Linked DNA regions of Arabidopsis thaliana. The protein of the gene in region 2 purifies or fractionates together with the protein of the main gene of each other region. This does not show direct contact. Each region holds a gene or a part of one and is shown on either strand. Other genes may lie near its edges.

Region 1 (5,859 bases), on a different chromosome or scaffold from region 2:
TACACCTGTGTGAAATCACAAGATCCATCAACAGAAAGTCAACCACGTAGGATGAAATTAGTGTCCATTGCAAAGAGAGAGAAAAGCCCTAAATTGATTCAACCTTAGTAGAAGACTGCGTTGTAATAACTGCAGTGCATCCATCACCAATTGTGAATTCACATGAAATCGAATCGCCCTACATAATTTGAACAAGAACTAGATTGATTCAAGCGCATCGATGGCAAATTCATTAATAAAGAGACAGAGAAATAGGGAAATACAGAGACAATGCCGCCACCATAAGTGATACTGTAAATCCAGACAACGTCAGTTCCAGCAGGAGCTGCCTGAAAGTTCAGTGTCGCCGGAACTTTAATAACTAAAGATTGAAAATTCGAAACTGTGAACTCTACGTAGAGAGAGAGAGGAGACCTTGCTAGGAAGTAAGAACTTGAGAGGATACTTCGAGAAGCAGCTCGTAGCTGTAGATCTTCCTCCCACTTTCTCCACCACCACTTTCCCTGTCGCCATCTCTGATCTCTCTCCACACTGTCGTCGACTTTCTCACTCCAGTTTGAGTAGAAATGTTGAATATTTTATATGCAAATCTCATCAGTTTCTGGATGTAGAGAAAGATATGATTTTGGGTGAAAAATGTCAAATTTATAAGTAGGAACAGCTCTCAGGTTCTAATCATACATAAACTCGAACGCAATCCAAATTAATGTTACAACAGTTTTATTTCCCACTCTTTGTGTTTTGTTTGGTGGGTTTTCTTCTTCAGAAACTCTCTTGGATGTGTTTATAAGAGCAAAACTGGAGGGATGTGTCCTTAATGGCGGAAATGTCTAACGTTGGTGAAGAGCAGAGAGACTCCATACTTTTTGCAGCAATCAATAGCGTCTTGGTCTCTAATACTGCCTCCAGGTTCTGCTATCACTCCTATTCCCATCTGGCACGCCTCTTCCACCGCATCTTTCCAAGCTGCAATTCACACAACAACAAATTTCCAATTCAGAACGGCTAACATTTGTTGATTGATGAGTCATTTCAGACAGAAGAATGGTTTCGGAGAGAAAAATATATATACCGAATGGGAAGAATGCGTCACTGGCCAAGGCAGCTCCTTTAGCTTCCTCCCCAGCTTTCTTGAAAGCTATTCTCAGACTCTCTACTCGGTTTGGCTGTCCGCTTCCCATCCCCAGCATACAATTGTTCTATGAGCCAACCCAAGAATCAGAATAAACTACTAGCAAACAAGTACAGAAAGAGAAACAAGAAAAGGAATCAGAGAGGAAAATCCAACCTTTGCTATCACAATGGCATTGCTCTTGACATGCTTAACGCAGAGCCAGGCAAATTTTGCATCCGCAAGTTCGCTTTCAGTCGGAGTTTTGTCTGAGACAGAATTGAAGCTGATGTCTTCTGGAGTTAAATCGTCCGAGTCCTGAGCCAACCAGCCGCCACCAACCTGTCTGAGCGATAGTTTCCCTTGGTCATTCTTTTTAGCTTCGAGGATCCTCAAAGTTTTTGATTTCCCTTTGAGGACTTCAAGACCTTTAGCAGTATACTTTGGAGCAACCACGATTTCATAAAACATTCTAGTTTCCCCGTCTGTTGGGCTCCTGAACTCTCGGATCTCCCTCGCAAGAACCTAGAGACAGTTACAGATCACTAAACAATTGAATAATGTATGGGACAACAGTAGTTTGACTTTTGATTACCTCGTCAACTTCAACATTGAAAGCTACAATGCCACCAAAGGCACTAACTGGGTCAGCTTTTACAGCTAGCCGGTAAGCCTCAAGAATATCATCACGAGAGGCCACACCACAAGGATTTGTATGCTTCACGACTACACATGTTGGGTTTTCAAATTCCGACACACAGTTCCATGCAGCGTCAGCATCAAGATAGTTGTTGTATGACATTTCCTGCTCACAGAAATAAATAGAAAAGTTAAACATAATAAGGCTTGAAAGCGAGGATAAGGATATAAATGGCAGTTTAAAACTATTTGCTCTGTAAATTACACCGGACAGAAAAAGTAGCATACTTTCTTACCTTTCCATGATGCTGAATCGCTGTTGCGATACCACCGGCATTCACTTCAGCAAGGCTCTTATCAACATAAAATGCAGCTTTTTGATGAGGATTTTCACCGTAACGAAGAGAACTCTTAAGTACAAGCGGAACTGTAAAGCTGGGAGGGAACTTCTCTTCTGAGAAAGACATGAATATCAATCAATGTAAGTTGCCAATTGCCATAACTAGTGTAAGGAGGATCACATAAAAACAATCACATACTTCCTTCAGTCTGCTTCCATAGCCATTCTGAAACCGCAGAATCATATGCAGCAACATGCTGAAAGGCCTTCCACGCAAGTTTTCTGCGGAATTGTTGGTCGCTCTGTCCTCCTTTGAGATACTCCAAAACAGCTTGATAATCTCCTGAATCGACAACAATGAGAACGTCTTTGTGGTTCTGTTGAAAAAACAATAGAAAATATACATTTATAATCTTGAAAATAATCTTGCAAGTGTAAAGAAAAAGTCTCATATGCACAGATATATGTATTACCTTAGCAGCTGCTCTAATCATAGCAGGGCCACCAATGTCAATGTTCTCAATCCCATCCTCAAAACTGATCCCACCTGGAGCAGTAACTTTTTCATAGAACGGGTACAAATTGACAACCACAACATCAAATGTACCTGTCATAGAATTAAAAAAAAAAAAGGTACAGTTAAACATAAGGAGACACTATAAATGACTTAGTCTCAAGCTTAATGTAGAGGATCAATCAAAGGTCAAAACTCACCAATCCCATGCTCATTAAGAGCTTCCATATGATGCTCCACATCCCTTCTAGCGAGGATACCACCATGTATGTTTGGATGCAAAGTTTTCACACGGCCATCAAGCTTTAAGAGAAGAAAAAAAAAAAGGAGAGCTAAGTTTAATATACTAAACTCAACAAAACAATGGTATAAACCAAAACTTAAATATAAATATCAGCGAGATCACAAGACCAAAACTTTTAGCAAGAGCAGCGAGCATAAGAGAAAAGAAAAACATGCCATTTCTGGAAAATGAGTAAGCTTCTCCACTTTGGTCACAGAGACTCCAGCATTCTCCAAAGTAGAGGCAGTTCCTCCAGTAGAAACAATAGTGTATCTACACAAATATCAATGAAAAAAGGAATCATTTACATATAAGATAGAAACAAAACCAAAATTTGTATAGTTCTAAGTAAGAGAGAGTTGTGAAGAACACATACCCCAATTCTTGCAGACCGTTGCCAAGAGAAGCCAAGTCCCTCTTGTCAGATAGAGATATCAAAGCTTGCTTCTCCCCTGATTCAATTAAAGCCCGATTATTTGAAAATCACTAAAACGTAACTGAAAATCGATCACTGAATTTGAAATTGCAGCAAAAAGAAAAATTGTAAACCAGAGGAGCCTGAGGATTGCGGCTGATTCCTCTGAGCAGTCTGAGACTCTGCCATGGCTCGAACAGCAACGAAACTTGGACACAGCGACGTACGATAGACCTGCTCATTGAAAATTCCACTAATATTAAAAAGTTTAGCAGAACATGAAACAAAGACACAAAGGAACACGTCCACACACAGAGGAGAACTCACAGGCTGAGTAAAACGAAAAGGCGCGACGGATTTTTTGCGAAACAAGCCGCAGAGAATATCGCCGGAGCGAGCACTCACGGAGGTGGCGGTGGCGGCTGAGCTGAGCATAGTAGTCTGATTTTGAAACAGTGTGTAGTGTTGAGCTCTGTTAGGTTTTGTGATTTTGCGGCTAATTTTGGAAATAAATTAGAAAAAAAAATAAAAAAAAAAGGAAAATATGTAATTTATTATTGGCGTCAGGTGGAATTATGTATTTATTATTATGGCCTTGACAGTTAGATTACACCTGGAATATTTGGAAAATTGGAATAAAGCTTCTCTTTTTATTTCCCCCAAAAATAAAACTAAACTATTTTAACTCCAAATTTTAAAAAATTTAGTAGAAACCAAAATTCTCAAGTGTAAACTAATTAGTAAGAAATAAAACTTTATTGGATCAGAGTGGTAATATTACAAAAGACTAACTATGGAGATGACGAAAGCTTCTTATGTTTTATATGATATTTTATTTGCTTTTCAGAATTTTAAATAATGTAAGTAGATAACAATTATTTTATTGGTAGGCATAATAGTTTTTTTCTCGAGAATATAGTTTTGTTTTTCGAATTGTCAAAATTAGAAGAGAGATTTTAAGGAAGGACTTGGCTTCTTCTCCTACTCATCGATCGTCAAACCGAGGACGCTTCACAGTCTCTGGTGCCGCCTTTCCTGGTATAAACCTTTTTCTCTACTTCTCTCCTTCTTTGCTTACTCGTCTTCCTTTTAGGTGTATGCTGTTTTTGAATTTTGATCATTATTATCGAAAATCTCTGGATCCGATGTGTTTCCACCTGAATTTCGGGTAATGATACTCAGATCTTGCATTTTCTAGAGTTTCAGTGGTTTTGATGGCTTGATCGGCTTTTGTTTTTTGGTTGGGTAGAGGTTTTTAGCTCAGTTTTTGGTTCGAAATGACGCTTATTTGTTTCCTTTTTGAGGTTTGGAATTGTTTCACGGACTTGATTGAATTTTGGATTTAGTTCTATGTTTTGATCTGTTGATTTACACTCTCTCAAAGTTACGATGGGTTTGCTAATAGTTTGGTGAAGTTGATCGATTTTAGTTTCAGCGATTCCTGTTAGTTTAAACTTGAAGAGACTAGAAAGTAGTCATTTTAGCTAGTTTCATGTTGGAAAGTATGCACAGTCAGATATTTGTACTGGATGATCTGTCCCTGCTAGAGTAAAGAGTTTTATTGGTTTGTATACCGAAAATGTTCCTTAAATAGTATGGTTTTCTGAGTTTTAGCCGTATGCTATTTTGGTTTTTTTGTTCTTGAATATGTTTGACTACTTGAGTAAAGTTACTCTTCTCCTATTTCAGGCACCTCAATGAGAGTTTGAGTTGTTCATGATAGAAGTCGTCCTGTTCTGCAGCCAAAACGTTAGAAATTTGCGAAGGATGCTTATGCAAAGATTTTACTTGGGTCATGATCATGATATGTCGCCTACAAGCGTTTGTGAGGGAGCTTATGAACTAGATAGATAGACACCTTGAGAAAGAAAACATGGATCAAGCAAAAGGTTATGAACATGTTCGGTATACTGCCCCTGACCCTAGAGATGAGGGACTTGGCTCCATTAATCAAAGGTTTTCCCACGACTCTTCAACTAATGTTAACACTTATGTACGACCTCCAGATTATGGTGTTTCAACCCCTGCTCGGCCAGTGCTAAACTACTCAATACAGACCGGTGAAGAATTTGCTTTTGAGTTTATGAGAGATAGGGTTATTATGAAACCGCAGTTCATCCCAAATGTGTATGGTGAGCACAGTGGTATGCCTGTTTCTGTTAACTTAAGTGCTCTGGGAATGGTTCATCCAATGTCAGAGAGTGGCCCTAACGCTACAGTGCTTAACATAGAAGAAAAACGTCAGAGCTTTGAGCACGAGAGGAAACCCCCTTCTAGAATTGAAGATAAGACCTATCATGAACTGGTCCAGTCAGCCCCAGTTATCTCTTCGAAAAATGATACTGGTCAAAGGCGTCATAGTTTGGTTTCTTCTAGAGCTTCTGATAGCTCTTTGAACCGTGCGAAGTTCTTGTGTAGTTTTGGTGGTAAAGTTATACCCCGCCCCAGAGATCAGAAACTTAGGTATGTAGGTGGTGAAACGCGTATCATACGGATTAGCAAGACTATTTCTTTCCAAGAACTCATGCATAAAATGAAAGAAATATTTCCTGAAGCA
Region 2 (4,847 bases):
GGGAATAAACTAGCTTCAATGCTTTTAGTTTAGTCCTCTTCTGATAATTAGTTTCCTGATGCAATTTCCATATAACTAATCACTGATTTACATAAACAAGTTCAAGCTAGAGAAGATTGGAGAATTCTCATTGATTCTGCAAGACTCGACCTTTACTACATAAACTTGAAAAAGTTGAATTTGTAGTAAACTGACCTGTTCAGGCTTTGGCTCGGGTTTTTGTTTCGTTCTTGAAGAAGAAGAAGACTTTGCACCAGGGATAGGACCTTTAATGGGAAAATATCTGTTCTTCTCCTCGTCGTAATAAAACCCAGGAAGTTCTGAAAAAAAAAAAAATCAAAGATAAACCAAATTCCCACATCAAAATCTCGGATACGCAATCGAAAATAGAAGAATCCGTCGAGGAAGAAGATTCAGACCTGGTTTCATGTTGTGTCGGACTTGGAGTCGACTCTGTTCTCTGTGTTCTTTCTCATCAGACACCATTAAAGGCTAACATGCGCCATATAAATAGCTTTAGGTTTTAAGAATTGAACCGGAAACGTGTTTTTATTCAATTATGGTTTAAAATGGACCGGTTTATGATCCGGTTTACAATAGTGAAAAACAGAAAACTAAAACGTATATCCTTTTTGTTCACAACAAACAACTTCAACATTATTTAAAGGGACTCTCCACAAAGCTTTTTAGTTCTTGTGCTGTAATCTCCCACTCTCAGCACCAGCAAAAGGATCAATAATAACATTTACCACCGCGGGTTTTCTTGCGGCGAACGACTCAGCGAGAGCGGATTTAAGCTCATCGGGTGTTTCCACAATATAACCTTTGCCTCCAAAGGCTTCAATGAGCTTGTGGTAGCCTGCATTAGGAACAAATGATGTTGGTGCTGGATCTTCTTTATGAGGACCGGAGATTTCTTCAGGTCCCCTTCGATCACCGCCGTAGACACCACCATTGTTGAAGACTATAATCACCACAGCAAGATTGTATCGAACCAATGTCTGCAATCATCATTAAAGACAAAAGTTCAGACAAAAGACAATTTCCACATTATGCTAATAAGTATGTAAATCTTTTTACTACCTCGACTTCCATGGCGCTGAAGCCAAAACCAGAGTCTCCTTCAACAGCGACAACAAGCCGATCAGGAGAAGCAACAGCAGCAGCAATACAATAACCTAAACCAACACCCATAGTTCCCCAAGTTCCTGCATCAAGCCTTGTCCTTGGCTCTTTCTGAACCAAAACAGATCTTCCTACATCCATTGTATTAGCTCCTTCCGATACCACAACAGGACTCGGTCCTTCCACAGCCAAAATAGCGTCTCTGATTATCCTCATAGGAGTCAAGAAATTGAAAGGAACCACATCTTTAGCAAGCTGTATCTCCATCTTCTCACCATTCTCTTTCGCCTTCTTCGAAATCGATTCCACCCATGAATTAGACTTCCCTAAACAAAAAGGATCGTCTTTGATCTCTCTATTCAACAATCCAATCACAGTTTTAGCATCTCCAACAATCCCCAAATGAGGTTTCCTTAGCTCAATCTCTTCCTCAGAGACATCCACCAATATAAATTTTACATCTTTATCCCATTTAGGCGACTCTCCGAAATGAAGAAGCCAGTTAAGCCTAGCTCCAACCACCAACGCGACATCACATTTCCCAATAGCAAGAGACCTCGCCGCAGTCGCCGAGAACTCGTGTGTGTCCGGTAACAAACCTTTACCCATCGGAGTTGGTAAAAAGGGTATTCCAGTAATTTCAACAAGCTTCTTCAGCTCATCTTCTGCTCTCGAATACGCAGCTCCTTTACCAAACACAATCAACGGCCTCTCAGCTTTCCTCAGCAACGAAACCGCCGATTCAATCTCCGATCTCAGAGATCCACGAATCGGTTCTTCCTTCCGTGATCTCTCAACCTCATCCACCAATTTATCAGCTTCCGATTCCGATATCTTCTGACGCAACACATCAGTCGGAATATCCAGATAACACCCACCGGGTCGACCCGAAACAGCTCGATCCAAAACCCTAGAAACACAATCAGGGATTTCACGAACATCTTTCGCTTTCTCTGATAATTTCGAGAAAGCTTTAACCGCTTCGATCTGATCAAGCTCCTGGAAATCTCCACGACCAACATCTCTCTGATCACAAGAACCAGAGATCATCACCATCGGCCATGTATTAACCCAAGCGTTGGAAAGACCCGCGAGCCCATGAACACAACCCGGACCCGAAACCGTTAAAAGGATACCCGGTTTACCCGTGAGGTAACCGTAAGCTGAAGCGGCGTAACCAGCGGATTGTTCGTTGTGGAAGGCGATGAAACGTATACCTAAAGCCATAGCTCGGCTAGCTAGAGACGTGACGGGGATTCCAACGACGCCGAACATGTGGGTTACGCCGAGATGAGAGAGTGACTTGGCCACGAGAACGTTGCCATCAATTGACGGTGGAGTGGTTTCTGATTTATCCGCCATGTTCTCTTGGATTTGCTCAAAGTTTCAGTTTCTTCTACTTGCTTTAGTTTCTTTATATAGCCTTTTGTATTTGTGTTTTACTCTTACTGTGATTACGTGTTTTGCATTAATGCTACTATTAGCCTATTATTGACTTCTTTATTTGCATTTTGTGTGTTCTCTGAAAATTTTATCTACAAACTTGTACACGTAATTATGTGTGTTTTGCTAATTTAAAAGTTATCTACGTAGCAAATAGTAAAATTCTCAACAAATTGATTATACGACCAAACTATACATGAATTTCTTTATTTTTGGCAACTTACATTATTCAATAACAAAGTAGTATGACAGATAACTTAATTTACAAAGGTATTGTGATTTAGTGATTCAATAAAATATATCTTTGGTTTTGGTCACTAGCGACTCCTACTTACCTAATCTTCTCAATAATTTGGATTTGGATGTGATAAAATGATAAATTTATGAGTTCATGGTTTGGAACAAGTGACCTTGTATAACCCTTGAGGGCTGCCACTAGAATTGTTTTGTAGTTAGCAAAGAAAACAAATCAAATTTGGATTTGTTCTTTTACACAAAGTGGATGATTTTGACCACGACAAAACTAGAGCACCACTCAAAGATTTCTCATGATTTTGCGAGTCTACAAAATAAATTTTTTTTTCTCCAACGGTAGTGAATTCCACAATCGATTGAGCTAACAATTTATCAAATAAACTTGGACTCGTTTAATTTAATGAAGAAAACAGAAGAGCTTGACAAAAAGAAAAAAACAACAACGTGTGGAACCATTAACAATCAAACATCTTTAATGGCACGCACGTCCTCTCTCAAAAAATTTCCTCACGTATACATACGCTCAAAACATTCAAGAACCAATGCTAAGGTTCCCATTTGAGTTCTTTTTGTAAACAAAAACATGGCGAGATCGCTCAAGAAATCAGCCAAGTTGAGTCTAAGAAGAGTCCGGATCAATTCACCTTCGATTAGGTTCAAACCGGACTCGAGTTCCATAGAGAGAGACCAAAGAATCGAGTTTCTAGGCGAAAATGGTGATGATGCCGGATCCGGAGAAGAAGACACCAAAGAAGCAAACAATGAAAGTGAAGAGGTTGAAGATAAGGAAGAAGAAAGAGTCAAAGTAATTGTAGAGGAGGAAGAAGAAAAAGAACAAGATGATGCCAAGAGCTTTAACATTGGAGGCGGAGAAGGAAAAAAAGAGGCGGTGGCAGCGGTTGAGGCGGTTGAGGAGGAGGCGGAAGGCGGGAATAGAGTAATGGTGGTGGTTGATAAAGCGCTTGCTTCTACCGGAGCTTTAGAATGGGCTATTACGCATACTTTACAACCACAAGACACTCTTTTTCTGTTATACTTTGCAAAACCGTTTAGAAAAAGTTCTTCTCTTTCTCTCCTCTTTGTCAATTTTCTTGTTTAAGGTTTGTTTGGTTTGGCTAATGAGGTTTTTCGGATTGAGTTTTAGGTAAAAGGAAGAACCGAAAACGCGAGGTGAAAACCGATGAATTGGTCCATACTTTAAAGAAACTGTGCCAAACGAAACGACCCGGGGTGAGTCACACTTGGTATTCGATTGTTTATACATATAATGAAAGCTACACTATTACTGTTCTGATCAAATTCTGGCGACGTGTGGATTTCTTTTATGAATGTCAGATAGAAGTGGAGATAAGGAGGTTAGAGGGGAAAGACAAAGACAAAGGGCAGAAGATAGTTGAAGAATCAAAGAAACAACAAGTGAGCCTTTTAGTGGTTGGACAAGAGAAGAAACCTCCGGTCTGGAGGCTATTGAAGAGATGGGCGTGGAAGAGACGCCGTGGACACGAAGGTGTTCTCAAATACTGCCTCGAAAACGCCTCTTGCATGACAATCGCGGTTAAACCCAAGAACCGCAAGCTCGGCGGTTACTTAATCACCACCAAACGCCACAAAAACTTCTGGCTTCTCGCTTGACAACAACGCAAGTTTTCCTCTTTTGTGTTTGTATCATTCATAAGGCTTTAAAATTTTTTCACCTATTTCATCTTTTATACATGAAACAAACTTGCTCCAGTACACAAAAATCAAATAGGCCTTTCTTGGATTATTGATATAACAATGTTACTGCACAAGAACTATGAACAATTTTCCCTATCTTCTGCTGGTTCAATCGGTTAATGATTCCGAGATTCTGTTAATTAACACAATACATTGGAAAGCAAGTGAGACTTCTTGGTGTTTACTAACCTTCTCTTTTTGAGCTCAGCTTTCATTGTCATCGTTTCGGGTTTGGTCCAAAACTACTGAACCCAATGCTTATAAGCAATCTGGTGAAGCTGATCATATCCCGCAAGCACTCCTGCTCC

The links.
Region 1: the proteins of AT5G17380 (region 2) and AT2G35040 fractionate together in Arabidopsis thaliana (co-fractionation; one large-scale study listed by BioGRID). This does not show direct contact.

What each region holds. Positions count from the first base shown.
Region 1 is NC_003071.7:14,764,533-14,770,391, forward strand, and holds AT2G35040 (AICARFT/IMPCHase bienzyme family protein), read right to left. Parts: upstream 3,787-5,859; 5' UTR 3,738-3,786; coding exon 3,630-3,737; intron 3,556-3,629; exon of another isoform or gene 3,537-3,555; coding exon 3,437-3,536; intron 3,340-3,436; coding exon 3,264-3,339; intron 3,161-3,263; coding exon 3,064-3,160; intron 2,908-3,063; coding exon 2,805-2,907; intron 2,698-2,804; coding exon 2,564-2,697; intron 2,468-2,563; coding exon 2,290-2,467; intron 2,205-2,289; coding exon 2,047-2,204; intron 1,917-2,046; coding exon 1,707-1,916; intron 1,637-1,706; coding exon 1,289-1,636; intron 1,200-1,288; coding exon 1,073-1,199; intron 967-1,072; coding exon 815-966; 3' UTR 613-814; downstream 1-612. Other genes in the region: URED (urease accessory protein D), read right to left, coding at 1-5, 104-178, 264-329, 415-513; AT2G35050 (kinase superfamily with octicosapeptide/Phox/Bem1p domain-containing protein), read left to right, coding at 5,176-5,859.
Region 2 is NC_003076.8:5,724,234-5,729,080, forward strand, and holds AT5G17380 (Thiamine pyrophosphate dependent pyruvate decarboxylase family protein), read right to left. Parts: upstream 2,680-4,847; 5' UTR 2,488-2,679; coding exon 1,084-2,487; intron 1,002-1,083; coding exon 687-1,001; 3' UTR 526-686; downstream 1-525. Other genes in the region: AT5G17370 (Transducin/WD40 repeat-like superfamily protein), read right to left, coding at 1-55, 196-320, 420-486; AT5G17390 (Adenine nucleotide alpha hydrolases-like superfamily protein), read left to right, coding at 3,407-3,881, 3,968-4,053, 4,159-4,455; ER-ANT1 (endoplasmic reticulum-adenine nucleotide transporter 1), read right to left, coding at 4,782-4,847. UniProt on the Arabidopsis thaliana protein: Catalyzes a carbon-carbon cleavage reaction; cleaves a 2-hydroxy-3-methylacyl-CoA into formyl-CoA and a 2-methyl-branched fatty aldehyde.